Linked DNA regions of Mus musculus. The protein of the gene in region 6 binds, or shares a complex with, the protein of the main gene of each other region. Links are inferred from orthologs where the notes say so. Each region holds a gene or a part of one and is shown on either strand. Other genes may lie near its edges. The genes, in order: Ppih, Lsm5, Rbmx2, Prpf4, Strap, Snrpd3 and Srrm1.

Region 1 (4,030 bases), on a different chromosome or scaffold from region 6:
ACCAGGGCTGGAGAGATGGCTCAGTGGGTAAGAGCACTGACTGCTCTTCCGAAGGTCCTGAGATCAAATCCCAGCAACCACGCCCTCTTCTGGGGTGTCTGAAGACAAGTATAGTGTACTTACATATAAGTATCTTTGGGCCGGAGCAAGCATGAGAGAAGGAAAAGAGGGGGGGGGGGTAGCAACTGAATGCCCTCCAAAACAGAGGCAGAAGGGTACTTGGTAAAAGTGGTATAAGAGAAGCCAGCCTTTACTTCCTGGTCTTTGCTACCAGCAGTGGCAAACAGCATTTTAAATAGGCAAAGCCCCATACGATTTACTAGCCTAGAGACCCATCCCATGGGCAAACAACAATCCCTGAGACTGTTGTGCTTGCAGACAGGAACCTCGCATGGCTGTCCTGAGAGACTCCACCCAGGAGCTGACTCAGGGATGCAGAGACCACAGCCAAACATCCGATGGAGCTTGAGGACTCCTGAGGGCCTCCGAGGGGATTGGAACTCCACAGGAAAACCAAGAGTCAACTATGACCCTTGGGGCTCTCAGAGACTGAACCACCAACCAAAGAGCATAGACAGGCGGGACCTAGCCCCCTCCCACACACACACGGTCTTTCATGTGGGTCCCGAACAACTGGAGTAGGGGCTATCCCAAAAGCTGTTGCCCTGCTGTGGAATTCGTTTCTTCTGCTTGTCTGGACTCAGTGGGAGAGGATGAGGCCAGCCCTGCAGAGACTTGATGTGCTAAGGTGGAGGGAAAACCAGAGGGGGTCTCTACCCTCTCAGAGGAGAAGAGAAGGAGGGGGTGGGGAAACCGGGAGAGGCGGCAGCACTGGGGATGTAAATGTGAATTAAAAAATAAAAAATTTTACAATCATAAGAAAATAAATAAAATTACATTTCCAGCACCCGACTGAGCCAGGCTACAGTAACAAACCATTTTAAAATATGGAAGGTGACTCAGGGATCCTCGGCTCATGAGCTGTGACAGGGGACACCAAGTGTGACTGCTCAGGACATGCTGTCTGCAGAAGATTCATTTCTATTGCACTAATACAGTCATGCAAGTGGGGAGCCCACAGACTTTGACAAAGATGCCTGCGTTTCCTCCCCTCAGCTCCGACCAGCTCAGCCAAACAGTACCATTCCCAACAACCTCAGCGCGCGCCACACTTCCGGGGCGGGGCGCAATCGCGGTCCGTTTCCACTGCGTCTGCGCTCCGGATGAAGTTCGCGGGACCTGCCACCGGAAGCCGGGTTTCTACTTCCGGGTCAAAGCCATGGCGGTGGCAAATTCAAGTCCAGTCAATCCAGTGGTCTTCTTCGATGTCAGCATTGGCGGCCAGGTGAGGTGCGGGCGACCTAGCGGCCCGTGCGGGCTGGTTGGCCTCGGGTAAGGGAGGCAGCCCCTTATAGCCCTCCCGAGACCGGCTGGGCCAGGCGGCGGAGGGAGGTGGGAGCTTTCGAGCTTCGTGGACAGCGGTCGTGAGCTGAGTGTTGCGTCTCCCGTTTCTTCTGCAGGAAGTTGGTCGCATGAAAATCGAGCTCTTTGCAGACGTGGTGCCTAAGACGGCAGAGAACTTTAGGTAAGGATATGCTCCAAGTGAACCAGAGCTGAGCCCGAAGCCGGCCTCCAGTCGGTCTTTGCCATGTCTGCCTCTGTCCATCTATTCATTGCCTTGCAGCTCTGTGGTCTGGGTATTTCACTGGCCAAACAGCTACCGGCTGTGACTGATCCCATATCAACTTCTATCACTAGTCTACCTGCCCTGACATCCGCCCGATCAGTTAGTTGGCGGACATACTGGCCCCAGTGTTTGAACTCTCCTCTCCAGAGATTAGAGGTGCTTCAAGCAGTGATCGTACGAAGGCTAAATCGTTTGCTCTCTCTTTCCCTTTAGGCAATTCTGCACCGGAGAGTTCAGGTCAGTCTCAGATGTGTTTGATTTCTCTGCCTACTCCTGAAGGGGTGCCCTGGATGTTTGGTGAGGGTATTGGAGAACCATGAACAGGTCTTAAGTAATGGAAGATGATATGCAGAGAGAGGGTGACACCTTGAATGGGTTCTTTCTCTCTCTTTTTCCCCCTCCAGATCTTAGTGAGAGCCCTTTTAGCCTCTGGTGTAGCCTAAATGGGAAAGGCCCACCATTGTGTTTCCCCATTCCAAGTCTCTTCCTTCTTTGTTTACAGAAAAGATGGCGTTCCGATAGGATACAAAGGAAGCACCTTCCACAGGTAAGGGAGGTTTTTGGAAAACTGGAAATGCAGTCATTGCTTGGTATCTGTACAGGCAGTCCTGCACACCTGAGTTCAAACTCTGTGAGGCTTACGGCTGTTGTTTTAAATGGCATGTTCGCGGCTGAGGCTGTAGCTCGGTGGTAGAGAATTGGCCCAGCATTCATAAGGCCCTGGATTTGGTACTGAACACCATGAAGCCTATGCACAGCGCCTTAAGTCATCCCTGACTTGGTGGAATGCTGTATTGCAGAAACGATGCCAAGGAAAGCATGCTGTACCCTTTCAGTACCTGTTCAGTACAGGTGCGTGGCCACGTGCTCCCAGAGGTCTAAGCTCAGATCCTTAGGCTGCCACAGCAAGCACTTCACCCACTGACCCATCTCCCTGGCGCCAGTCAGGACTTCAGCAGAGGCTTTGCTAGTTACCGTTGCTAGGCAGTCATCTGTAGGAGCCTGGCTTTCATGATATATTTACTTATTTTTTGTTAGAGTTTGACAGAAGTTGCTCTATTCTAATCCTGAAAATGTCCATGTCTCCCACATAAGGGCTTTAAAGCTACAGTCTGTAACCCTCCCTAGCATTCTTGTGAAGTAGTATGTGTTTTCCGAGTTCTTCAAGGAAGGCTAAGCAAAGCGAAGGGCCATAGCTGGTGTACTAGCTAACACCATCAAGTCTCTGTGTGTGCAGTAGTCCATTCACCTAGATTTGCTGTTGTTCTTTTCCCCCAAATTGCAATAAGCCCTGGACATGATTTTTTCCTTTGGTGACTGTTGGTGATTCTAGCCTGGTTTCAGCCCCTTCCTGATGTTCAGGTGCGAACTCACGCATCTAAGATCAACTGAGTTAAGACTGTACTTGCTCGCCCTTTTCTAAGCTTCAGTGATTAATCCACTGAATCTTTTCTCAGGATTTTTTTTTTAACTGTTTCAGGGTCATAAAGGATTTCATGATTCAGGGTGGAGATTTTGTTAATGTAAGTACTGCTTCTTTTCTTTGTTATTTTTTTCTGGCAGGGCCCTAGTCTTGAGACTTAAGAGCAATAGCTAAGTTAAGTGGAGAGGGCATGGGATGTACTGTAGAGTTGCTGGCTACCACTGACTGTGTCCTTAGAACACATAACAATACTCTACTGAACCATAAACTTCCACTTTCCAAACCCTAGCTGTTTGTAACTAGAAACTGGGCTTTGCTGGCATACCTATAGGTGATCTGAGACGGTCCACATTCATTGTTCACAGAAAACTTTGAAATTGACTGCAATTTTTCCCTCAAAAGGAAGGGAGCTGACTGCTTTTGTCTCCCATTTTTCCTTCCACATCTGCACATCTTCTGTCACTGTCTAAAAACTCTAGTTTTTTGTTGGATTGCTCTGGGGGGGGTTAGGGGCCGGTCTTTCTTTCTCTTTTCCTTTTGAAAGCTAAGGTATTAATCACAAGCTGGTTAGCAAGCAAGGGATCAGATCAGGAGAGACAGGAAGTTTAAAGGGTGTTCGCTTGCTTGCTGAGGTAGCCCAGCAGATCCATTCTTCACAAAAAGACCATGACTGTTGGTGTCTCCATCCTTCCTTGGAGTGTGTCCAATAAGCTAGAATATCTCTTTCTTAAACCAGCTCTTTCCTTACCCATCCACCTCTGTGCATGCTGTCTCCTTGCTGTTAGCATTGTTTATGTGGGTGTGTTACTAAGTCCTTTTGTCTGAGAGATGGTCTTACTCCATCAGTTGTAAATTTAGTTAGATTTTTGTGAGTCTTTAGAGGTCTTCCTCCTACACAGGGTTGCAATGGCAGGCTTTAG
Region 2 (4,057 bases), on a different chromosome or scaffold from region 6:
GCTGTCAAGTGTGTTTGTAATTGCCTTGGGACCTAGTAGATCTGTAAGACTTATAGATTGGGCGTGGAGGAAAAAAAGCCACCACTGGCTTGGAATTGAGAATGGAGCTGAGTTTTCATTGCTTTCCATATTAAATCCCATAGTGCTGTGCACATGAAATGTACTATTTGTCCTCCTTCCCACTCTCTTGGTTGAAGACTTTTCTGAACATTGTTTTATGTATCCAGCAAGCTGCTAGTCAAACAATATTCCACTGATATGTTTTTTCAATGGAGGAATGAAGGGTGCTCATCTCTCATATTTAGGCTGTTTGGTTTTAAGTCTGTCACATGAGATGGACAAAGGCAAAGTATTTATCTGCTTTAACAACAACAACAACAACAACAACAACAACAAAACAAGCACGTAAACGAACAAACAAAAAACACTAGGGCCCAAACTCCGGGCCTCATGAATGCTAGGAAAGTACCCTATAGCCAAGCTACCAGCTAGCCCTTGTTAGTTTTAATTTCTTATTTTGTGTCGGGGTCTAAGAGGGCCATGCCTGCAACAGATGCCTCCTTTTGTCTCTCAAGTGTTGGGTTTACTGGCCACTCCACGTTAAAAGGGGGCTTTTTAATCTTTTCCAATGCAGAAGTGTGATAGCAAGGTTTCCAAACATGATGGAGTCAACATACAGAGTGACATCTTACGGTTGCCTGCAAATTGAAAACTGATAGTGACTTTAATGCCTGTAATAAACCAGACACCTAGAAACGACAAGAAGAAATTAAATAATAGTAGAAGTTTTTTGTTTGTTTGTTTGTTTGTTTGTTTTTTCTAAAAAAAAAAAAGCTTGTGAAAAATGCTGCTTTATAGACTTTCAGTCCTCTGGCCTTAAAAGTACCAGATTCCTTAAAAAAAAAAAAATGAGTAGTTGTTGAGGAGCATGCAGAACGAGTTTATAGTAGGAAATATAAATTGATTTTATTGCTCTGAAGAAAGATACAGGCTTGAAATGCAACCTTCTAGAGGAAAATTAACCGACTCAGAGATCTCGTATGCTGGTCTTCCGGCGGCAAATTATCTCTGAAGTTTAGCAAAACTTGGGGGTACCATAGGTGCCTGTTGGGTTGGTGGCAGGGATAGAGATCCGAACCTCTCTATCGAATCTGTCTGCGATCCATTGGGATCCTCTGGATCTCAAGATCGGCTTTGGATTAGTCTTGTCTGAACCAGCTGTGGAAAAGGGCGGAAGCGCGCAATTTTAAAGTCTGCGCCGGTGTCCTTAGCCACTTCCGGCGTGGCCATGGCGGCTAACGCGACCACGAACCCGTCCCAACTCCTGCCACTAGGTAAAAGTCTTGTTTGGGGAGCGGTCGGGTTGCTGCAATTCCACGCTGGGGGCCGAGGCTGGGCCACCGCCCCTCCGGGCCCGGCTGTCCGGTCCTTGGCGTCACTGGGCAGACAGACAGACCGTTTTGCCTGTCGGTGGTCGGTGAGGGTCCCACTTAGTGAAGGACGTGCTCGGCCTTTTTGAGCTCGCCAGTAAGATGTCATGAGTCGCGCAGTCCCAGTTCTCAGCTTGGCCTTCTTGGTCTCCAGATCAGGTAGACCCTGTATTGGCTTGGGTAAGGAGTGCGCCACGGCATACAATGAATCTTACAATAGAAATCTGGAAACTAGCCCCGTCGTTCATTAATTCAACAAGCAATTCCCGCGCAGTGCCAGAGAACTGTTGAATAATGAACTTGAATTACAGCCATTGCTTTCAAGATCGCACACCGGCACGCATCGTGCTGAGCAATTCTAAGATGCTGAGATGAACAGGTTGGCCCAGGAGCACAGAGAGTTAAGGTTAAGTGAGAGAAGGAGTGACGGGAAAGCCGGTGTCTGTAATAATGCTTCTCCCTTGTCATGTTTTGGGGCTGGTGAGCTTAGTGAATGTGTCTGTGATTGAAAGTTTTTGCAGTGTTAGATATTGTTTATCGGTACAAACACTGATGAAGAAAAACAGTTATGGTCTCCACCCACCTCATGGTGTGTGTTTTCATACATTAATCAAATAATCTAAATAAAAATCACAGTCCTATTAATTGCAAATAAAGAGTTAAGTGAAAGCTAAGGCAAACATTTGTGCTAACGATTAAACAGAGATTTGTGTAAGATGTAAAATTACCGAATGGTTCCAGATACATATGTAGGAGAGTATGGCCTTTTTTGACATCATTGGGAGGGGAGGCTCTTGATCCTGTGGAGTTTGATGCCACAGCATAAGGAGAATGCTGGAGTGGGTGGGTGGGTGGGGGAGCACCCTCATAGAAGCAATTGGGGAGTGGGGAGAAGGTAGATATGGGAGGGGTGTTGTGGAGGGGTAACCAGGAAGGGGGAATATCATTTGAGATGTAAACAGATGGAATGATTAATAAAAGTAAGTAAATAAATAAATAAATAGCAAAAAACTGAATGTTTTTGCTTATCTTTAATGATAAAAAATAATAAGTGAAGTAGGCATTCAAATGTTGGTCGATCTAATAAGTAGGTAAAATTACCCTTTTCCTTCCACAGAGCTTGTGGACAAATGTATAGGGTCAAGAATTCACATTGTGATGAAGAGTGATAAAGAAATTGTCGGGACACTTCTAGGATTTGATGACTTTGTCAGTATCCTTTTTAAAAGCGGGAATGGTGTAGGTTTCTAAAGATGTATTAATATAAGAAAGAACTATAGACAACCGAAGAATTTCTGGTTATTACATTAAGAATAATTTTGTTTTCCAGGAACTTGGTAGTATTTTAAGAGGTGTGTTTGCTGACAGTTGATAGGGCTCTTGCCAACAACAAACCTTTTGAATTTGCACTATCATAGTGTTGAACATATTTTAAACCAAACAAAAACATATACCTGAATAAACCTTATTTATTTTCTTAACATTAAATTCAGATATGGTGTTGGAAGATGTCACAGAATTGTGAGTAGTATTTAAAAAATTAAAAAAATTTGAGAGGAGGGGAGGAAATCTCTTTTTAATTAAAGATGGTGCCTTGATTACTTTTTTCTATTAATGTGAAGAGACAGCATGACAAAGGTATCTTATGGAAGAATGCGTTTAACTGGGGGCTTGCTTACAGTTTCAGATGGTTAGAGTCCCTGACTGTCCTAGCTAAGAGCTTATATGTTAGATAATAACCAAGAGAGAGAGAGAGAGAGAGAGAGAGAGAGAGAGAGAGAAGTAAATAGAGAACGCGAGCGCACTAAGTGGGTATAATTTAGGTTTTTGGAATCTCAAAGCCTAACAGGGTGATACACCTCCTCCAAAAAAGGCCACACCTCCTAATCATTTCCAGTTTGCCAACAGAGGACCAAGTGGAGGCCATTCTCCTTTAAACCTCCATAGCAGCTTTAGTATGATCGATATAAAAAAAATTACTTGTTGGAAAATACCTTAATACTGAAACGTTATTTACTGGTGTTTGTGAGGTCCAGTTAAAGGATTATTATCTTCATATTATTCCTGAATTTGTAAGAAATTAGTGTGAACAAGCTTTATGGTGAATTATATTTACATGAGTATTATCCAATGGGCAGTTTGTATTCTGTATATATTTACTGTAATTATATGCGTTCACATTGAATCATGTGTAAGAATAACAGCTTTGTCACTAGGGATTGAACCCAGGGCCTTGTGTGTGTGCTCTGCCACCAAGCTATTCTCCTTACCCCAGTAGGACTTTTAGGGAGGGAAAGTGTTTCTAATACTGCCTTTGATTACTTGTTTATCCAGACTCCATTTAATCTATCTTTTTAGTGAAATTACACCAGAAGGAAGAAGAATTACAAAATTAGATCAAATTCTACTAAATGGAAATAATATAACAATGGTAAGACATTAAAACTTTTCTCTGGAAATTATTTTACTTTTGTAGTGTAGGGATTATGGAACTGACTTAAACTTCTATTTCGTTGGCAATGTTCATGGCACTGAGATAGACACACTGAGGATGGGAAGGGAGCCTTGGTGATCTGTGCCTCAGGGCAGCTGTTGAAAGTGCTTTGGTCCTTGTCTTAGTCAGGGTT
Region 3 (4,267 bases), on a different chromosome or scaffold from region 6:
CTTTCTTTAAGGTTTAGAATGCCATATGTAAAGGTGGAGGTATCAGAGCCTTGTTAAAGCTCATTAAGAGAAAGTTACTTCCTCTTGTTAAAAGAATGGATTCTGAGTTCTACCTCTGGCCCTAATGATGGAGACGTAATATTCTGATCAGCCTCAAAAGAGAATATTACATGTTGTCTCTTACCTTAAGAGTTCCATACTGCCTCTAACCACAACATTTGGGAGGCAGAGACAGGTGGATCTCTGTGAATTTCAGGCCAGCCCGCTCTACAAAGTGAATGCCAGGAGAGTCACAAGCTCTATAGTGAGACCACGTCTCAGGGGGAAAAAGAGAGTTCCATGCTTCTGAATTGGTAGAATAAATATTGTGAAAATGGGTATACTTCCAAAATTAATTTGCAGATTTCATGCAACACCTTTCAAAATTCTGATGTATTTCACAGGTTTAGAAAAATAACACAAGAATTGATATGGAACTACAAAAGACAATAGGTAGAAAAGAAATCCCAAGGAATAAGAACAATGCTGATAGCATTATAGGACCTGACCTCAAATTTTACTATAGACCTATAGTCATAAGGACAGCCTGGTATTGCTATAAAAGTAGACATTAATATCAATGAAATAGAATAAGAGAATCCAGAATAAAATGCCAAAGCTATTCCTATTTAATTTTTGACAAAGGAAGCAAAAACATATATTGGGAAAAAAATAACCTACTTAAGAAATATGCTGGAAAAACTGAATTTCTATCTGAAGAAGACAGAAATTATGTGAGTGCAAGTGCCCACAGAGGCCAGAGGAGGATCTTCTGAAGTTGGAGTTGTGAGCCACCTGTTTTGGGTGCAGGTTCTCTGGAAAAAAATCAGCAAATGGTCTTAACCACTGAGCCACCTCTCTAGACCTTCAAGCTAATTTTTTTGAAGCTCAGTTTTTTTCCTCTGTAAAATGGGGATGGTAACTGTATTTCATGGGGTTGTTGGGCGGTCAGCCTGGTCTACAGAGCGAGTTCCAAGACAGCTAAGGCTACACAAGGAAACAAACAAGAGATTGAATGAAAAATGCAAATGGCAGAAAGTGAGCCGCCCCCTGGGAGGCAGAGGTTTAGGGTAGGGGCAGGGTGAGGAGTGCTGGGAGGAGCCAATGGTGTGAGCCTTAGCCTGGGGTTTGAGATCTAACAGAGATAACGTGCATAAATTGTCTCTCATTCACAACCTTTAAGTTCTCTAACTCTTTAGTTGATAGGTACTAGTTTGACAATGCTAATTTTTGCCTGCTTGTTTATACGTGGGCATTTAATTCCGACTGGCAGAGGAACACAGGGTCCCCCCATCGCTCTCCATCAAAAAGGGGGCGGGGACTGACTTGGGAACTGTCCCTCCACAGGAGCGAATGCCTGAGAAAGCACCTTCACCTTACTGCGCAGGCGCCAGGGCTTAGCGGGCCGGAACTTCCGGCGGAAGTTCCGCCTCGCGGGCCCCGTGCTCCAATCTGAGCTGGGTGTTCGGGTCGCGGGAGCGCTTTGGAGCCTCACCCGGAAGCTGTTGTCGTCTGAAGCGAGCCGCGCGAAGATGCGAATATGAAGTAAGGATTCTGTTTCTCTGCGGATAGGGGCGGGAGTGTTCTCCGCGGAAGGGAGAGTGGCTTGAGGATGGCCGCCCAGAAAGGGCGGGGACCGGTCCTCGCCCTCCGGGCCTCCGGGCGGGAGAAGCTCGGTAGGGAGAGGGCGGGCTGGGAGGAAAAGTACTTATCGCACTTACCGGCTTGCCTGCCACCCGCGCAGCCCTCTGACTAAGGTGAAGCTGATCAATGAACTGAATGAGCGAGAGGTTCAACTTGGAGTGGCGGAAAAGGTGTCTTGGCACTCGGAATACAAGCACAGCGCCTGGATCTTTGTTGGTGAGGTCCCCATTTTTCTCCAGCAGTGCCTTTCAGAGTCCGCCCCGTCCCTTCCCCTCCCCTCCCCATCCCTCTCCATCCCTCTCCCCTCCCCTCCCCTCCTCATCCCTCTCCTCTCCTCTCTCCACCCCTTCCCCTCTCCTCCCTATGCCCCCTCCCCCGGTTATTTAGTGCCCCTGGTCATCGCTTCTGAACAAGCTCATCACCTCACACTCTGGAAGCTCCTCTGCTCACAGGTCCACTTTTCAGTTGCCTTCAGCGCTTCTTAGAATTGGTATTTGCCTTTCATTCTATTCAAAACCTTGCTACTTGGCTGCTCAGAGACAGTTCATTCCACAGTCAACCTATCACGATGTCAAAGAAACGGAGGCGCAGACAGGTTACTGGACTTGCTTAAGGTCACATGCTGCAGCACTTCAAAACTGTGGGGCTTGTGCTCTTCGTCACGGTCACATACCGATCGTGTGTGTGTCTGCCCTTCCTCACAATGATTTTTCTCCTCTCCTGGGCTTCTGCTCCTAGTCCTTAGCTGTACCGTGATGTACCTGGTCAGACATTAGCTGGATTTGAAGACATTAAGGCTTGATTCAAAATTAGCTTTACTCCGGCTGAACATTTGAAAGGCCACCTGAAAATGTGACAGGATCAGGGAAAGCTACTTCTGATGAAAAGAATAGAGTCTGGAGTACACCCCTGGCCCTGGGTAGATACCAGGACATTTTCAGGAAACCTACATGTTACATACTAGTGTGCCCCTTCCTTCAGACATAATCCAACAGAGCTTTAAGTCATCTGGCCAGTAGACACCTGTCAGGAAAGCTCAGTCACCGCCAGACACGCTAGGGACACGGGAGGGAAATGATCCCCAGTGCAGGTGGTGCTGATGTCCGCCCTAAGTCTACCTGCTGCTCTGAGGCCTCGCTGAGCCCCACCTCTCCCTTTCTTTCTGTTCTCTGGGTGCTGGCGGAAATCCTGAGCCTGCTTGCCCCTAACACGCTGGGCTTTCTCATCTCACATCTAAATGTTTTCCTGTCCCTTTGCGGCTACTGCTCTGTCCCCATTTTTGTGCACTCCTGCTTGCTCCACCTCCTAATTCTGAAGGCATGGCTGCCAACCCTTCTGTAGCTCCCTCCTCCCTCCTCCTCCCGGTAGCTGGCGAATCTTACACCTTGCCTCCCTATCAGCTCTCCCTCAAATGCTAACACAATGGACCTCAAGCTTGCCCTTTAGTCTGTTTTAGAATTATTTTACCAAGATTAGAGACTGAGAGCCTTTGTAAAAGGGGAACTCTTGAGTCTCTGGGGACAATATTACCTTTCGTGTATTCTCTTTATGTCACAACCAAAATCCCGCAGTTTGCCTTTTGAAGGGATTGTGTTAAGCACTTTATATGCCTCATTTTAGTTTATTTCCATAATACTCCTGTGAGGCAAATATGTTAACGTCCCCTTTTTGCATATGAAGGAGAACATTGAGGAACATGTGAAAGGCTTCCTGTGAACCGCTTAGCACTTTCCTTGATACATCCTAGTTTGCACGTGGGGGGCAGTAACAGTGTATTGAAGTCAGTGTTTATGAAATCTGAGTCTTGTGCTGGAAATCATGTGCTTTATAGGACTTTGGGTATGAAGACTCAATGATAAGATTAATTTGGTAATTTATGACCCTAGCCTTTCCCCTCAGAGTTAATTAGTTTTTTTCTTTTTCTTTTTTTCTTTTTGAGGCACAGTTTCGCTCTGAAACTCACTGTGTAGACCAGGCTTGCCTCGAACTCAAAGGGATCTGAGAGCTAATGACTTTTCTTCCAGACAACTGTCATCGTACCCACTCTGTCATTGTATTAGGCTGATAATTTCCAGATCAAGGCTTGTTTAATCTGCACCTCCAGTGTCTGGCCTAGTGCATAGCATGCAGTGAATGCTTGATTAATGCTTGTTAAACTGGAGAATGTGTGTTTTCTTCCAGGAGGGCTTCCTTATGAATTGACAGAAGGCGACATCATCTGTGTGTTCTCACAGTAAGTCCTCTGTTAGTTCCTATCTCCTGGATGCATGGAACAGTTTGCTTCCATAGTGTATTTTTGTAACAGCAACAAAGCATTTCAAGCTGGGTGTGGAGTTGTACACCTCTAATGCCACTAGACAAGTGCCTGAGATAGGAGGATCACTTGGGGTCTGCCTAGGCTCCATAATGCATTCCAGGTCAGCCTGCACAACTAAGTGAGATCCTGCGTCAAAAAGCCACCAAAGCTATTTTAATTCTAGGGATGTCTAATGACATCCCTCCATGGGGAAGGCTAGACCCTAGATCAGTCCCAGAGAGTTACCCCATGGGAGATCCCAGAGCTGAGATCGTTTGAGAGTCTGTC
Region 4 (4,239 bases), on a different chromosome or scaffold from region 6:
AAGATCTGGCGCCCTCTTCTGGAGTGTCTGAAGACAGCTAGTGTACTTACATATAATAAATAATTTAAAAAAAAAAAAAAAAACAAAGTTACACTTAGACCACTAAAATAAAAAGCTAAATGATAGTGATCTACATGAAAGTTTTGCTATAGTGTGCATTCATAGAAATTATTATTGCGTGCATCCAGAACGAAACAAAACACTACAATGTATAGGAAACATTTACACTTCTCTCAGGAGGCTTAGCACAGCAAGGGGTGATCTAATCAAAACACTGGCCCGTGACATTTCAAAACTGCTTTATTCTATCAGATACTACTTTCTACCAGATCCTTACGTAGAGAAATGGAAGTCAGCTCCAAGGGGGAAAGGAAGAAACACTTAGAAAAACAACAACAACAACAATAATTCCCTACTTGCGAGGGAACTTTCTGAAAGCCTCACCACTAGAGAGCAATAATGAGTACGAGTTAAAAGCGCGGCTCGGCGGCTCGCGACCTGCCACGTTACTAATTCTACTACTACGGCTCCAGAACGACCTTTTCTCACCAGAATGTTTTTTGGTTTTTTTCGGGCTTGTACTCTTGTCCGTGACTGAGATGACTAAAACAGAATAAGCTCGTTGCGCGTAACTCGGCATTAGTAAGTCCTCGAAAAGGAAGTGCTCTTCTAATTGGAGTTGTTCGGGGCAGGGCCTTGAGTGTGGAAGTGAGTCTGTTCAGCTCGGCAAACGCGCATATTTTTGTAACCCCCACAACTTTCATGTAAGGATTTTTTTTTTAAAAAAAACCTTATCTCTGATGGCCTAACATTCATTGGAGCTACTACTGCTGATATGCTCTTTATCTGGAGCCTTCATGGACCCTTTATTTCAAAGAACACAGACAAAGAATAGGCTGTAGACAAGTAAACCCACAACAAACTAGGCCGCAGCTCCTCCACCACATCTCTATTTTAGCCTTAGAAGGTCTTAGAGTTTAATATCTTCTTGAAGCCCAAACTGATTACGTAGCCACCGAGTTACGAGGGGCCCCCGAAGGACTTCCGTCGTGGACAACAGTCCTCTTTCCCAGCTCCAAGGCTGCAGAAGTCTAGGGAGAGATTTCCATGGCAACACAGGCCTCAGCTTCGAAATGGCGGAAGGCCTCCCGAAGGATAACAGAGACCCTCGTTTTGTTCCAGATTATGGTTGCGATCCGCAAACCTACCTCTTTTCAGGCCTCTGCAGTTCCCCAGAACCTCAACTCCCACCATGACTCCATTGCTGCGCAGCCCAAACTACACCTCCCAGGCTGCTCTGCGCCTCTCTTCCCATGCTCCTCTTCTCCCGCGAGGTTGTGTAGCTCTGTAAGGCCACGCCCCTCGACTCCAGCCGACCTTTGGCAACTACCATTCCCAAGATACTTCGCACGTAGTACGTTTCTGATACGTTTCCGGCCAGTGACGCACTTCCACTTTGCTAGGCGCGCGGTTCCCGGTCTGAAAAGTAGAACGCGGATTTGGCTAGGGCCTCGCGTCTCCGCCGCCCGGCATGGCCTCCTCACGAGCCTCCTCCACGGTACGGAGCTCTGGATCTAAGCTCAGGCCTGCCCTAGAGAGGCCGGGGGTTCCCGTGGGAAAGGGCCGTTACCTTACGGGTCTGGGCCGAGGAGGAGGAAAGCTGAGGGACCCTAGTGTGGACCTTAGTAGCCTTTTCCTGATGTCTTCGTGTGCTGCAGCTCTCTTTGCACTGCTCTTACTTAAGTCCTGAGCAGAGACCACTCTTTCTGGCTGCTCCAAAACACGGTGCTTTGGAATCGGGTTGTGTCCTGACTTAAGCTGTCCGACTCGTACTTACTATGATGAGGCTTCCCAACTTGTAATCGGCTCTGAAAGTATTTGAAATGTGTATTCCAGTCACATCGTGACTTGGTGCACCTAGAGCCACCCTGATTGTTTAGGTTGTTTTTAGTGTCTGCCCAGCAGTGAGAAGTTATTTTCGTAAAACCGGAGATTGCTTTTCCAGTCGATTAAAGTAACGGGCCCCAAAACAACCAAGACACTTCAGGCAGAAATTGATTGGTCGTATTTGTGTGCCAAACTTAACAAGAGCCTTAACTCGCACAAAGTCAGTTTCGACTTTCTCCTCTAGTTTTGAGAGGAAAGAAGATGAAAGTGCAGCGTTAGCTTCATTCTTTTGGGAAGCATGGTTTGCTGGAACTAAACCTTAGTCCGGGTCTTTGATTTAACAGACAACCAAAACCAAAGCGCCTGACGATTTAGTTGCTCCCGTTGTGAAGAAACCACACATCTACTATGGAAGCTTGGAAGAGAAAGAGCGGGAACGCCTGGCCAAAGGAGAGTCTGGGATTTTGGGAAAAGAAGGACTCAAAGCCGGCATTGAAGCAGGAAATATTAATATAACATCCGGTAAGATGCAAATTGCAGGTCATTACCCCCACACACACACCCTTTTTTAAACAGTGCTGGGAATCCAACCCGGGTTTTTTTTTTTTTTTTTTTGCATGCTAGGCAACTGTTCTGCCACTGAGCCATACATTTCCATCTCCCCCCACCCCCCACAGTCTCTTACCTTTGACCTCAAACTCCTCCTGCCTCCTTCCTGGTCGCCACCATGTACTTTTGATGATTCAATATTCTGATGAACACCTTCCCAAACCACATAGTATTAGGTTTATAGGCCAAAACCTTCTATTGGTCTGGGGAGCTAGTTCAGGTGCCAAAAGCTTTTCTCTGTGACCATTAGGACCTGAGACTGAGCCCCAGAACCCATGTTTTTTTACTGGCTTGTTTTTCCTTTTTCTAAAAAAAAAAAAAAAAAAAGTCAATGTGGTGGTACCTACTTAGAATGAAATGTTGGGAAGACATACTTGCAAACGCGTGCAACCTTACCCTTCTGTTTTCACCTTTGAGCCTGTGACTTTACCTGCTTGACATCATCCAGTGAGTGGATTTCTTGTATTCTCTACAGTTCCTTGCAGGAATGACTCGTGGTCTCTGTAGACTTCTTGAGTGGATTTGTCTTTGGGAGATGTAACCTAGTTCTGGCATTGGTTTATAACTGTTTATAGAATTCTTTCCTTTACTTTTCTAGGGTTTTTCTTTGTGTTTTCCTTTTTGTTTCTGTTTTTCAAGACAGGGTTTCTCAGTGTAGCCATGGGCCAAGCTGGCTGGCCTCCAACTCAGAGGTTCTCCTGCCCCTGTCTCCAGAGTGCTGAGAATAAAAGCATAAAAAAGAATAAAAACCACTACCTGCCTAGTTTAACTTAGTTATTATAAGTATTTAAATGTGCACACTTTTTCCCTGTACACATATACTATTCTTAAATGTCTTCAAGCCTGTCTCACTGGGGGTTAGGAGGGGCGAGGGGTTGTGGGTTTTAAAACTAATCGCCATAGTATCCAAAAAGACTTACCTTGTTGTCAGAGGAATCCTGTTTTTCCTGGTCATTATTTCCTCTCACTGTGTGTGAATGCTCTCCTGGGGGTACTGTTTTAGCAGGTAGGAGTTGGGCTTTCCAAATAAGAAATGTTCTAAGCTATAGAAAGAGATAGTGAAATAAATGGAAGAGGTGGCCTGGCCCTCCTGCCCTCAGTTTAAAGCATCACTTGGGTTTATGTGTTTGCTATCATTTAATAAGCTGAGAATTGAAAATGGTAAGCTATAAAAAGTAAGATAGATTAGATACAGTTCTTGCATATGCTTACAACTTTTCAGCTCTTAAAGACCAAAACAAATTTCAGTATTAATAAGATGGACATACTTGTTTATTGATAGAGAATTAAATGTTAACTGAAATTTTAATATTGTAAGTCAGGGCATTTTGAATATTTTTCATAATACTTTGATTCTTTCTTTCTTTCTTTTTTTTTTTTTTAGTTAGCAACTCAGATATTGTGCTGAACTTAACAGGCATACACTGAGCTTCTCCCCATCGTCCAAACAGCAATTCTAAATAAACAAATATTTTAACACGGTATAGTCCAAAGATAAAACTATTTGATATTTGATGCTGAGGAAATTAAATGTTTTCCTTATAACTTTGTACAGTGAAGACATTGCAATTCATCAGATGTAATGGCCTCTGAGCCACTTTGCGTGTGGTGTTCCTTAGTGTCATATGGCATGGCAGACAATAAGTACATTACAGAATTGCACATGCTCAGCACCAAGGCTGCAGCAAAGATACATGGTGCAGCCCAGCAGGGACCCTTCGATATTGCTGAAGTCTCTGTGAG
Region 5 (3,500 bases), on a different chromosome or scaffold from region 6:
GCTATGTAGCTGTTCCCAGTGTGGTTAAGGGCGGATTGCCTGAGGGGATTCTTGATGCCTCTAACCTTTGTAAGTTAAGAGCTGATGTATTTTGTGAAAAGATGCATAGCTTCGAGATAGACCCAAGCAACAGTTCAGATTAGTTAAGCTAGAACCAGGTAGTGTTGTTAAGGCGTTGGGAAAATATAAAGTTATCCACAGCCTAACACAGGTTTTATATTTCATAGAAACTCACAGTTCCTATTAATTTGTAATGAAAATTGCTTCATTACAATTGTGATTGTTTTATGTATAGATAAAAGACTTTTTTTCTGGCTACTTGAATAAATAATTTACTTATGTGCTCATTCATTTGCTTATTCATTTGCAGGCTCTGGGATCATGCCACAATGACAGAAGTGAAATCTCTGAATTTTAATATGTCTGTTAGCAGCATGGAGTATATTCCTGAAGGAGAGATTTTGGTTATTACTTATGGACGATCTATTGCTTTTCATAGTGCAGTAAGGTATGTCTGTCCAGGACATTTCTTCATTTATTTCTGTTGGAAAGAGACTTTAAAAATCAGGGGTTGGAGAGCTGGCTCAGCTGTTGATTAACAGTGATTGTGCCTCTTAGGGAGAAGGTCAGGTCTCACCTCCATCAGGTGCTCACAGTGACTGGAACTCCAGCCTTGGTTTCCAGTGGCCTCCACAGGCATCCCCATGTACACACACACACACACACACACACACACACACACACACACACACACACACACACACACACGCATATATGTATGTGTGCGTGTGCGTGTGTGTGTGTGTGTGTATACACACATATACATACAGATAAAGTAATCTTGAAAAAAAATTGGAAGGCTTGTACCAAAATGTTTCGTGATTCTTTTAAAGGCAGATTCTTACCTGTGCTGTGTAACTCAGACAGACAGACGTGGTCCCACACCTCTTAACAACTCTCTTAGGTTGAGCAGTCTGTAATCAGGAATTAGTGAAATTTCAGCTACCTGTGATATTTATTTCTACATAGTAAGGAATATTCAACATCATGGCAGTGGTTCCTTTGATATAAACAGAATATAAAGTATGCTAATACATATCCTAGGTAGCTGAAATTCTGATAATTTTATTAGCATATTTTATATTCTGTTTTTATCAAAGGAACCATTGGCATGATGTTGTATGTTTCTTACTAGGTAGAAATCACTGTGATAATTGTTTTCTATTTTTTAAAAAGATTTATTTATTTATTTTATTTATATGAGTACACTAGCTATTTTCAGACACACCAGAAGAGAGCATCGGATCCCATCACTGATGGTTGTGAGCCACCATGTGGTTGCTGGGAATTGAACTCTGGACCTCTGGAAGAACAGTCAGTGCTCTGAACTGCTGAGCCAGCTCTGCAGCCCCCCCCCCCCTTTTCTATTTTCTAATTAAAATTTTAAAGAGACAAGGCCTGGGGCTACAGCTCAGTGAGAGTGTTTGTTTAGCATGGATTGAGAGCCTGGGTTTGAATCCCTAGGAACTAAACACAGTGAGGAAAGTGACGCAAACCCATTCATTGTGCGTGTGTGCGCCTGTGCACACTTTGGTTTTTTTCTTTTAATTATTAGCACTATGATGCATAATCTTGGCTGTTTTTTAATTAAAAATGTTTTTATCCATTCAAATACCTTTAAAACATTTTTATTGGTTATGGTGCCTTAAATTGGAAGAGGTTTTGTCTCAGTGCCCTGAGCACTGTAACCGATTGTGGTACATCTTTGTTCTCAGTACTGGGATCCTGAGTTCAACTGTAGGACTGACTGTGCAGTTCTTAGCCTTGGTGCTTAGAGGGTTTCTGTAAGGATTAGACCACATTCTCCTCTGACAGGAGTCTTATGATGTGGTCTAAAGAATACTTCAGTGTTCAGCTTCATTGAATAGGAAACAAACACGTTCTAAAACATGTAACTGCTCATTTTTGTAGCTGTGTGTAGCTGCTCATTTCTGGACCATGCATTCCTGCTGTAGACTCTTGCCTCAGATCTCATTTGGTAGTAACTGGCCTGTTGAGTATTTGAAACACGGGGGCTGATCTGTAATGCTACATTCAGCACAGCTAACGTTAGAGTTTTTGTGTGTGTTTCCCCCACCCCCCAAGACAGGGTCTCTCCGTGTATCCTTGGCTGTCGTGAAATTCTGTGTAGACCAGGCTGACCTCGAACTCAGATTTACCTGTTTCTGCCTCCTGAGTGCTGGGTTAAAGTTAGTTTTATGCTACCATGCCTGACTCTGTGTATGTGCTATGTGCTGATTGATGGTCTGTGTTGAAGTAATTTTCAGGATTGAACTGAGAAGGGCTGGTAAGGAAACTAGTTGATTTCCCCCCCTCCCCCCCGGGGTAGGGGGAGTAAGTAAGTGCACTGAAAAATACAGCTTCATTATAATGCGATTGATTAATCTCAGTTATTGCTGTGAAGAGATGCCAGGACCACGGCGACTGATAAAAGGAAACATTTAACTGGGTGCTTTGGGGGACTTGCTTAGATTTTCAGAGCATAAGTCCATGGCCATCATAGCAGGAGCCAGGCAGGTATGGCATGGAAGCAGTAGCTGAGAGCTTATATCTGATCCACAAGCAAGAGATGGACAGAGCTAACCAGACTGGATCTGCCATGGGCTCTTAACCTCAGCCTCCCCCTCCACCCAGTGACACACCTCCCTTACCCATCCTAATCCTTCTCAGAATAGTCTAACTGGGAACCATGCAAAAGGCTGCAGACTTCATTCTTACTCAAACCACACATGGCCTTCACTCCCTAGTTAAAAACAGCTGCTGATAGCAGTTTCATGTGTTGGGGACTGAAAGCCTGAGCCCCAGCCGAACCCTGAACAGTTATAAAAACATTTAGCATCCCTCTGTACTGTAGTAATTCCTACTGTAAAATATCACTCTAGCTTGATGCTTTTATTTACTTTTTTCAGCGTTGAGCCTTCAAACTGGCCTTTATATGCTAGGCAAATGCCTGTCCCTGACTTTTTGATTTTTTAAGGGGGCCCTGAGTTCTCTTTCCTTAGCCTCTTGAGTGCTGGTATGCAGACATAGGCCACTGCTTGGCCTGCATGACCCTTTTGTATTTACTAAAATAATGCATGTTTGTAGAAAAAATAGAGTGAAATTTTCAAAAGAAAAATAATCTGGCATTGTCACTGCTCTGAGTGGGTGGGACTTGGGAGAACGGAGCTGATAAAGGAGGTGGACTAAAGTTTCATGCAGTCGCCAACTTTATTCAGACCATCAGACAGTTTATAAACTCTGAGGACAAAGGTCATGTGAGTAAAGTTATCTTTGAGTTCAAACTGTAGAGTCACACGGATAGTTAAACATGTAATTGCATAATAGCAACAAGCAGTAATGAATAATCTGAAGTAAAGACATCGCTATCCACTGCACCTGGGAGGTCAACAGCAACACATTCCAAGAACAATTCTATGTTTTAAGAAAACTGAATTCAT
Region 6 (4,090 bases):
CTCTTTCCCGCCCCTTTGCTGAGAGCTCTCAAGCCATTCTTTCCCCCTCTTTCTCGGCCTCAGGCTTTCCACAGTTCCCCGGGGAATAGGATCACCCAACGTGCTTCAAGCAGGGCTATTCGATTCTGGACAAGGTTGTGCCTTTTTGCCCCTTGGACTTTTCCACTTGACGGCTCTCAGCACTCCCTGGGCTTCAAGCCCCAGGAGACTCAGGAACGACCCTAAGTGGAGGACAGGAGATGAGAAGGAATATCCACCTAGCTAGGACCCACTAGAAGCTCCAGGCTGGGCTGAGGCCGCAGACGACCCAAGGTCGCGCGCGGCCAGACCCTGCCCGGCTCTAGGGCGGAGTCCCCCTCCGTTCCCCCGGTTGAAGGCAAGGCCCTGAAGAGAGGCACTGACCGGGCTCGAGCGGCTGCCCCGCTGCCTCTGCCTCCGTCCTCATGACCCGGATGGCGCAGGGCGCCCATGGCCCCGGCCTGGAGCTGATTGCAGCGGCGACTTCTGCTGGGCAGCGAGCGCGGCCAGTGAGCGCAGAGTTCCTCCTCCTCCGCCTCCGCCGCCGCCGCCGCCACCGCGGTTCAGAGCCGGGTAGGCGGTGGCTAGGCCGCCTCAAGCCACGCCTAATCCCTTCCAGGTCTGGGCGCTGGAAACCCGCCCCTTCCATAAGCCACGCCTCTTCCCTTCCACCCCCACTTCTCCTTCCAGAACCCGCTACCCGTAGGTCCTTCCCTGAAACGCTCCGGGGGCCCCTCCCCCTCCCCGAGCCCCGCCCCTCCCCGAGCCCCGCCCCCAAAGCCCTTCCCCTAGCGACGTGGGCTCCCCACGCTCTCCCTCCGCTAGGTCTGTTCTTCTGCAGCCTCAGATGGAAGCTCTGGTTCTCCGCAGTGCCTTATCGAGACTCCAGGGAACACTTTCCCGACTCCTTTTAGGTCTTCTTACCCAGACAAGGAATAATGAGAGTTCCCAGGGCTCAGTGCGTCCCTTACCTGCCGGTGGCCGGATCCAAAGCTTAAATCTCTAGTCCAAGCCTCACTTCCTGTCTCCCCAGAGCACTGGGCTCAAGCCCAGATCCCGCCCAATCCGCCACTACAGTACTCAGGGTTACCATGTTCCCTTGTTGGGCTCCAGGATTGGTGTTTCCGGCGGTCCCCCGGGCCCTCTCCGGTGCCGGAACTATTGTGCTAGAGCCCTGGTTTCCCCAGCCGGCTAAGTGAGAGTGAAGGGCAAGTAGGCTTAAAGGAAAGGGAGGGGCCTGCGCAAGGCATTCTGGGAGCGCGTGGTATTCGTGAGAGTCGGGCCGGTCGTTCTCTCGCCTTCGCCTTCTAACGTTTGTGCCAGAACCGGAAAAAAAATAAAGCCTGCAGTTAATTGGTGAGGAGAGGCGGCTAACGGGAGAGAGGAGGCCAGGGCTTCCCCAGGGGGTTTAGGAGCTGGAAGGGCCGCTGCGGAGGAGCTCAGCGGGGCTTGCTTAGCGGAGGGCGGGAAGCCAGGGCCTATCCAAAGCTCATCTCCCGAACCCTTGAACAGTTATTAATTTACGCCTAGTCTGCACGTTCGGTGCCTTCTCAGGTCACCGATTTCCGAAGCTTACGGGCAGTCATTTCTTGCTAATTACCTCCTTTCCTTTTGGATCATCATTTACAACGTCCCTTTCATCCCTGCCTCCACTCCCATTCCTGCAGTGGCCCTCTTTTCCACGCTGCTGCAGAAGTTTAATCAAGTTGCCGTGCTATATGTTCGATCCACTTTGTAGATGCTACTCTTTTTTTTTTGAACCTTTGGCTATCATCCTGCAGTGTTTCCCTACCATTTTCAGCATGGAAACCCACACTCCTAAAGTTGAAAGCCGTGGTTCCTCACCGAGAGAGAGAGACTGTGTTTAGCATCCTTACAGTCTTCTCATGCAAATAAATGGTGTGCTCCGGTTTTGAGTCGTTTCCAATCTCAGCATTTTAAAAGCCCTGTGCATAGTCTTTGTCTTGTAGTGAGACTTAAAGTCGAGCGTTTACCCTATTTCTCTGCTTGATGAACATTTCCTATTTATAGCACCGTAGCCTTGACAGTTTTGGTCTGCTTTTTGGTGGGGATTCAAAACGCTGGATTGAAAAGCGCAAGCTCTTTTTCCTAGCTTCCTTGGGGCTCAGGTCTATATGTACTATTAGGTTCTGTAGCCTTTATCCAAATGTGGTGGCTGACTACTTGGGATATTTCTGGTGTGACTGAAAGACTGAGTTTGCTTTTATTTGCATTTTATTTAACTCCATGTAAACAGTGATTTGTTTACACTCCGGGTCTATATCATAGCCCTTTTAGTGACTATAAAGGGTCATATGGCTGGGATGAGAATGGGGGTAGTACTCTTTGTTCCCATTACTTTTCATTGTCCAGCTTACCATCCTTCCCTACCCTACGTGTTGCGCTAATTTGCTGTGGTGGTTCCTTGAGGCCAAGAGCCACACTCCTTCCACAGGAAACGCAGCTCTTGACATCATTTACAAAGCCCATGGCGTGCCAGTCCTTAAGCTCTGAAAGATGACCATCGTCTCTCTTTCCCTGTAGCCCGGGAAGAGTCCTGCCAAGATGTCTATTGGTGTGCCGATTAAAGTCTTGCACGAGGCTGAAGGCCACATAGTGACGTGTGAGACCAACACCGGGGAAGTATACCGAGGGAAGCTCATTGAAGCAGAGGACAACATGAACTGTCAGGTATCCTGCTTGGCACCAGGGCTGGGAAAGGGCTGTGGCTTCTATCCTGTGGGTAGAGCGGTGTACTTGGAGGTCTTAATGAAGTTATTCTCATCAAACAGTTATTAACTAAGTACTTATTACCTGTCAAGCACTCTTACAGGCTCTAAGATTTTATGTCAGTATAGACTTAGCCTTGAGGCAGAAAAGTCATTTGACAGCCTGTGGTTGTACGTGTGTATCCGAGCACTTGAGAGGCTGAGGTAGATTCTCGAGTTCAAGGCCAGTCTGGGCTTTATAGCAAGACCACACTGCTTTTGGTAGGGAGTCAGAATGCTGAATTGAAAGCACAATCTCTTTTCCTAGATTTCTCTGGGGTTAGGTCTATATTTACTGTCAGGTAGCCTTTAGCCAAATACAGTTGCTAAGTACTTGTCTATAAAACAACCAGTTAAGTTTCACTTTTCTGTCTCAGAGTCGGTCAGGTTCAGAGCCAGTGTCTGCTTCCCAGCACAGTGTATAATTTGCAGGATCTTCTACTCACGTATTGTGTGTGCTTACTTTTGTCTTGGAGAAAGTTTCATCTGATAAAACTGCCAAAGTTTTGGCATATGGTTTGGGGGTTTTCCCCATTAATTAAGAACTTGAGCTTTGGAATCAGAGAATTCCCTGATTCCAAATTGAGTTGGGCCATAATGATAGGACCTTGGGTATCCTGGTCACTTGTTCTCCCCTGAATAAAATGAGGATGGAGTTGTTTTGGATCCTCTGTGCTGTAAATGCCAACCCAGAATTAGATACACCAGAGACTTTGGGGAGGTGGCGTGAAGGACGCCAGTGACCGAGCAGGATTGCGGAAGTGATTGGTTACTTTGCTTGTTGCTGTGATCAAATTCCTGACCAAAGCAACTTAAGGAAGGGGGAGTTTATTTCGACTCACAGTGTGATGAGACAGTCTGATGCAGAAGAAGTCATGGTGGCAAGAACTTGAGGAGGGTACTAACTAGTCACATTGAATCTGCAGTCAGGAAGCAGAGATGAGTGCCAGGACTTAGCCCAGTTTCTACTTTTCACCTCCACCTAACCTAGACAATCCCTCGCAGACACGCCTGTCCCTTCAGTAATTCTAAATCCATCAAGTCGGTAATATTAATCATCGTAGCAGGAGGGTCTTCAGTCCAGGAAAGGAAGGCAGAGTGAGCAAAAGGAGCCTCAGGCTACAACATGGTGCTGAGGAAGTTTCACCCAAGTAAGAGGAGTAACTGGAGCCAGTAATGGACTGGCTCTGATGTTTCTGCTGTGGTCAGTCCCTGGCAGCCTGCTGGAAGGGCTGTCGCAGCGTGAATGCCCTGGCAGGTCCCCCAGAGTGGCAGCTGGAGGGTGCCAACCTGTTGTCTCCTGA
Region 7 (3,500 bases), on a different chromosome or scaffold from region 6:
ATAATTCCAGGCATCTTGAGGCTTTAAAAAATGCTTCCGCAAGAAGGATTTAACTTTCATGAGTGGAATTCTTGACATTTGTTTTTCTCCACTGCTCTCAGGATGCAGATGGGAAAGCGATGGCAGTCACCAGTGACTAAAAGGTTGGTTAGATACTGTTTTTGCAAATGAGGGTTACATACCAAGTGTACTTAGTTTTCTGTTAAGGTGACTGTCCCCATTTTACAGACACATGACAGCTGAGAAAGTCTTAAGTTGCTTTGGTGTGTGTTTTTGTTTTTACCATGTCAGATTAATGATACAAAGAGCTGTGTGAGGAGATGACTGTAGAGCCTTTCCTAATCTGATAATTCTAGACTCTGTAGGGAGTGACTTTTTTAAAGTCTTCATTGTATTTTTATTTGTCATGGATATATATGTGTGAATACACACATGCCACAGTCTGTTGGAGGTCAGAGGACACTTGTAGGAACTGGATCCCTGTGTTCAACAAGTGGGTCCTGGGAGTCGAACTCATTCAGTTCTTCAGGCTCGGTGGCAAGGGCCTTTATCTGCTGAGCTCATCTTATTAGCTCTGGCTTTCTCCCTCTACTCCCACTTGTTGAATTTCTTGGTTTTGAGAGAGGGTTTTTGTGGGTAGCCCTGGCTGTCCTAGGAATTGCTGTGTAGATCAGGCTGGTCTCAGACACAGAGATCCACCTACCTCTGACTTGCGGGCTCTGGGCTTAAAGGTGTGTGCCGTGATCACCTGGCTCAGTGTCATATAGTAAGGAGGATAAAATGAAGTATAATTTTGAGTATGTAAAGTGTTACTATGAAGTACTAATCACATATCACCAGCAAACCTAAACCAAATCTGGTTGGAAATTCAATGTGGTAGTGAATTCTGAAGAGTCGAGACCTGATAAACCTTAAAAACTGAGCCAGGTCCACAGTGTCAGCCCTGGCTGGGCCAGGAGCTAAGGATTATTTACACTGACTTCTCTCTCCGTGTGTCAAGGGCTACAGACAGGCTTAACTTGAAGTCTTTTGTAAGGTTGCTTCTAGCTTGTTAATGTATGACGCTTGGTATATGGCTTGTGTTACAGGTTTATTACAGACTCTGAGTTGGGGAGTGTTTGGTTCTTGAATATACTTTTAACCACACTACCCCCAGGGCAGCTCTAGTATTTAAGATAGCTTTGTTGTTTGTCTTTAGGGTATTGGTAGGTAAGACACATGGTCCCTTTTCAGTGGTGGGTATATATTTCTTCTTTTTTTTAAGATTTATTTATTTATTATATGTAAGTACACCGTAGCTGTCTTCAGACACCCCAGAAGAGATTCAGTTATCATTACAGATGGTTGTGAGCCACCATGTGGTTGCTGGGATTTGAACTCAGGGCCTCCGGAAGAGCAGTCGGTGCTCTTAACCACTGAGCCATCTCTTCAGCCCGGGTATATATTTCTTAGATAAGACCGTAAAGGTTGGAGATAGACTCCGAGATAGAGCATTCACTCAGTGTGTGCAGTCCCTCTGTCTGCCCTCTGTCTCTGCTGCGGAGGAGGGGCAGCTCTAAGCCAGGGCTTCCAGATTGGGGCCTTAAGTTATTTGGTGTCTATTAACATTGGCTGTTAGCCCTGACATGGTTCATATAAGCTTCAGATAAGTTTTCCAACTGATTATTATGTGTGTCCCAACTAAAAAATAAGTGTTCTAATGACCGTTTTTGAATTTTTTCTCTTCCTCTGTTGGGTGATTTATGTCAAACAAATGAGTGTTTTTGTCTGAAGCTAATATCACAAAGCTGTCTTTAATTCATACCAAAAGCAAAACATAAACAATGTTTCTGCTCTGGGTTAGTTAACCACTGGAAATATACTTCCTAGGGGGGCTTAGTTATAAATGTCACTGACTGAGGAGAACTCTGCTTTCTTATTTAGTAGTAGAAGGAGGAGAAGTCCCTCTCCCCCTCCTGCCAGAAGGCGAAGGTCTCCTTCTCCAGCCCCTCCGCCGCCACCTCCCCCTCCTCCTCCTCGGCGGCGCAGATCTCCCACCCCACCACCACGACGAAGGTACTGTGTCCAGGTGACTCATGGTAGCTCTGGGTCTTTATCATGGAAGTTGCTTTGTAAGAGGCATCTTAGGTTGTAAAAGGTCACATAAATGTGAGCTCCTTTATGGGACACAGAACTATGTGGAAACAGAACTTAGAACAGGGCACTGGTGATGCTAACTTGTAATCCCAGGACTCAGAAGGCAGAGGCAGTCAGATCTTTGAATTCAGGTCCACCCTGGTCTACAGATGGAGTTCCAGGACAGCCAGGGCTACACAGAGCAACAAAAAAACAAAGACAGAAAAGGAAATAGGAGCCAAGGGTATTCTGCTCAGAATCTATACTCCTGAAAGGCTGGGCCAGGGACATTTTGAGTTGGAGGTCAGCCTGGGTTATAGAGAAACTAAACCCTGCCCAGCAAACAAATGGGAGAAGTAAACAGATGGATATCTAGGGTGCGGGAAGTGAGAACTATCAGTGGCTGCACAGCCACAGGAGTTCTGAAGCTACCATGTTGTGCACGTTAGCTGCTGCACTAACCTGTTGGCATTTTGCGCACTGTGAAAGCTTTGGTGATGCTCCTGCCAATCATGTAGGACCCTAGACTGCAAGTGCTAGCAGTCCCAGTCAAAAGGGGATTCCATGAAGGGAGAGGTTAGAACTCTTCAGAAATGTCAGTCATGGGCTGTGTGTAATCCCAGCTCTTAGGAGGTAGAGGCAGAAGATCAACACTGGTTTGGAACCAGCCTAAATTGTATTAAGTTCCAGGTCAACTGATACACTGGGGGGTGGGGTGGGAGGAGGTGGGGGGATATGAGCCCTCTCTCCAGCTCCTGTCACAGAGAACACAGTAAAGACTGCCTGGCAACAGCTGATGCTCACAGTTGCACAACACATGTGAGGTTCTCTTATGAAACAGTACTTTGTTTTATATAATTATGTAAATTCTCTTGGTTTGATGAATTTAAATTGTTTCTGAGAATTTCAACTTTCTCCATTAAACACAACACAGTATCCTCTTGTCAGTCATGGAGGTATGTGTATTGCTTTGAAATATCTCCTGACAGAGTACTAGCTACAGGATAGTTATGACTAGTTACTTCTTTTTTTTTTTTTTAAAGATTTTTTTTTTTTATATGTAAGTACAGAGTAGCTGTCTTCACACACACTGGAAGAGGGCATCTCATTACAGATGGTTGTGAGCCACCATGTGGTTGCTGGGATTTGAACTCAAGACCTTCAGAAAAGCAGTCAGTGCTCTTAACTGCTGAGCCATCTCTCCAGCCCGACTAGTTACTTCTTTTTATTCAATTAATTTTCTTGATTCTGGATTGGCTAGCAAGATGGCTCAGTGGGTGAAAGTGCTTGCCATAAAACTAAGTGACCAAGGGGCTGGAGAGATGGCTCTGGGTTACCATCTGTAATGAAATCTGATGCCCTCATCTGGTGTGTCTGAAGACAGC

The links.
Region 1: Snrpd3 (region 6) and Ppih share a complex: the UniProt entries of both Homo sapiens proteins name them as parts of the U4/U6-U5 tri-snRNP complex. The link is inferred for Mus musculus from reciprocal best matches to the Homo sapiens genes SNRPD3 and PPIH.
Region 2: Snrpd3 (region 6) and Lsm5 share a complex: the UniProt entries of both Homo sapiens proteins name them as parts of the U4/U6-U5 tri-snRNP complex. The link is inferred for Mus musculus from reciprocal best matches to the Homo sapiens genes SNRPD3 and LSM5.
Region 3: Snrpd3 (region 6) and Rbmx2 share a complex: the UniProt entries of both Homo sapiens proteins name them as parts of the minor spliceosome. The link is inferred for Mus musculus from reciprocal best matches to the Homo sapiens genes SNRPD3 and RBMX2.
Region 4: Snrpd3 (region 6) and Prpf4 share a complex: the UniProt entries of both Homo sapiens proteins name them as parts of the U4/U6-U5 tri-snRNP complex. The link is inferred for Mus musculus from reciprocal best matches to the Homo sapiens genes SNRPD3 and PRPF4.
Region 5: Snrpd3 (region 6) and Strap share a complex: the UniProt entries of both Homo sapiens proteins name them as parts of the SMN-Sm complex. The link is inferred for Mus musculus from reciprocal best matches to the Homo sapiens genes SNRPD3 and STRAP.
Region 7: Snrpd3 (region 6) and Srrm1 share a complex: the UniProt entries of both Homo sapiens proteins name them as parts of the minor spliceosome. The link is inferred for Mus musculus from reciprocal best matches to the Homo sapiens genes SNRPD3 and SRRM1.

What each region holds. Positions count from the first base shown.
Region 1 is NC_000070.6:119,317,724-119,321,753, reverse strand, and holds the start of Ppih (peptidyl-prolyl cis-trans isomerase H), read left to right. Parts: upstream 1-1,230; 5' UTR 1,231-1,279; coding exon 1,280-1,345; intron 1,346-1,520; coding exon 1,521-1,585; intron 1,586-1,900; coding exon 1,901-1,924; intron 1,925-2,189; coding exon 2,190-2,234; intron 2,235-3,167; coding exon 3,168-3,210; intron 3,211-4,030. UniProt on the Homo sapiens protein: PPIase that catalyzes the cis-trans isomerization of proline imidic peptide bonds in oligopeptides and may therefore assist protein folding. Participates in pre-mRNA splicing.
Region 2 is NC_000072.6:56,701,900-56,705,956, reverse strand, and holds the start of Lsm5 (U6 snRNA-associated Sm-like protein LSm5), read left to right. Parts: upstream 1-1,257; 5' UTR 1,258-1,288; coding exon 1,289-1,334; intron 1,335-2,547; coding exon 2,548-2,643; intron 2,644-2,923; coding exon 2,924-2,951; intron 2,952-3,788; coding exon 3,789-3,861; intron 3,862-4,057. UniProt on the Homo sapiens protein: Plays a role in pre-mRNA splicing as component of the U4/U6-U5 tri-snRNP complex that is involved in spliceosome assembly, and as component of the precatalytic spliceosome (spliceosome B complex).
Region 3 is NC_000086.7:48,693,537-48,697,803, forward strand, and holds the start of Rbmx2 (RNA-binding motif protein, X-linked 2), read left to right. Parts: upstream 1-1,467; 5' UTR 1,468-1,579; coding exon 1,580-1,584; intron 1,585-1,783; coding exon 1,784-1,899; intron 1,900-3,864; coding exon 3,865-3,916; intron 3,917-4,267. UniProt on the Homo sapiens protein: Involved in pre-mRNA splicing as component of the activated spliceosome. As a component of the minor spliceosome, involved in the splicing of U12-type introns in pre-mRNAs.
Region 4 is NC_000070.6:62,407,344-62,411,582, forward strand, and holds the start of Prpf4 (U4/U6 small nuclear ribonucleoprotein Prp4), read left to right. Parts: upstream 1-1,439; 5' UTR 1,440-1,531; coding exon 1,532-1,558; intron 1,559-2,231; coding exon 2,232-2,409; intron 2,410-4,239. UniProt on the Homo sapiens protein: Plays a role in pre-mRNA splicing as component of the U4/U6-U5 tri-snRNP complex that is involved in spliceosome assembly, and as component of the precatalytic spliceosome (spliceosome B complex).
Region 5 is NC_000072.6:137,741,582-137,745,081, forward strand, and holds part of Strap (serine-threonine kinase receptor-associated protein), read left to right. Parts: intron 1-370; coding exon 371-508; intron 509-3,500. UniProt on the Homo sapiens protein: The SMN complex catalyzes the assembly of small nuclear ribonucleoproteins (snRNPs), the building blocks of the spliceosome, and thereby plays an important role in the splicing of cellular pre-mRNAs.
Region 6 is NC_000076.6:75,516,752-75,520,841, forward strand, and holds the start of Snrpd3 (small nuclear ribonucleoprotein Sm D3), read left to right. Parts: upstream 1-1,290; 5' UTR 1,291-1,374; intron 1,375-2,562; 5' UTR 2,563-2,583; coding exon 2,584-2,709; intron 2,710-4,090. Other genes in the region: protein GUCD1, read right to left, coding at 403-445. UniProt on the Homo sapiens protein: Plays a role in pre-mRNA splicing as a core component of the spliceosomal U1, U2, U4 and U5 small nuclear ribonucleoproteins (snRNPs), the building blocks of the spliceosome.
Region 7 is NC_000070.6:135,325,647-135,329,146, reverse strand, and holds part of Srrm1 (serine/arginine repetitive matrix protein 1), read left to right. Parts: intron 1-101; coding exon 102-143; intron 144-1,923; coding exon 1,924-2,055; intron 2,056-3,500. UniProt on the Homo sapiens protein: Part of pre- and post-splicing multiprotein mRNP complexes. As a component of the minor spliceosome, involved in the splicing of U12-type introns in pre-mRNAs. Involved in numerous pre-mRNA processing events.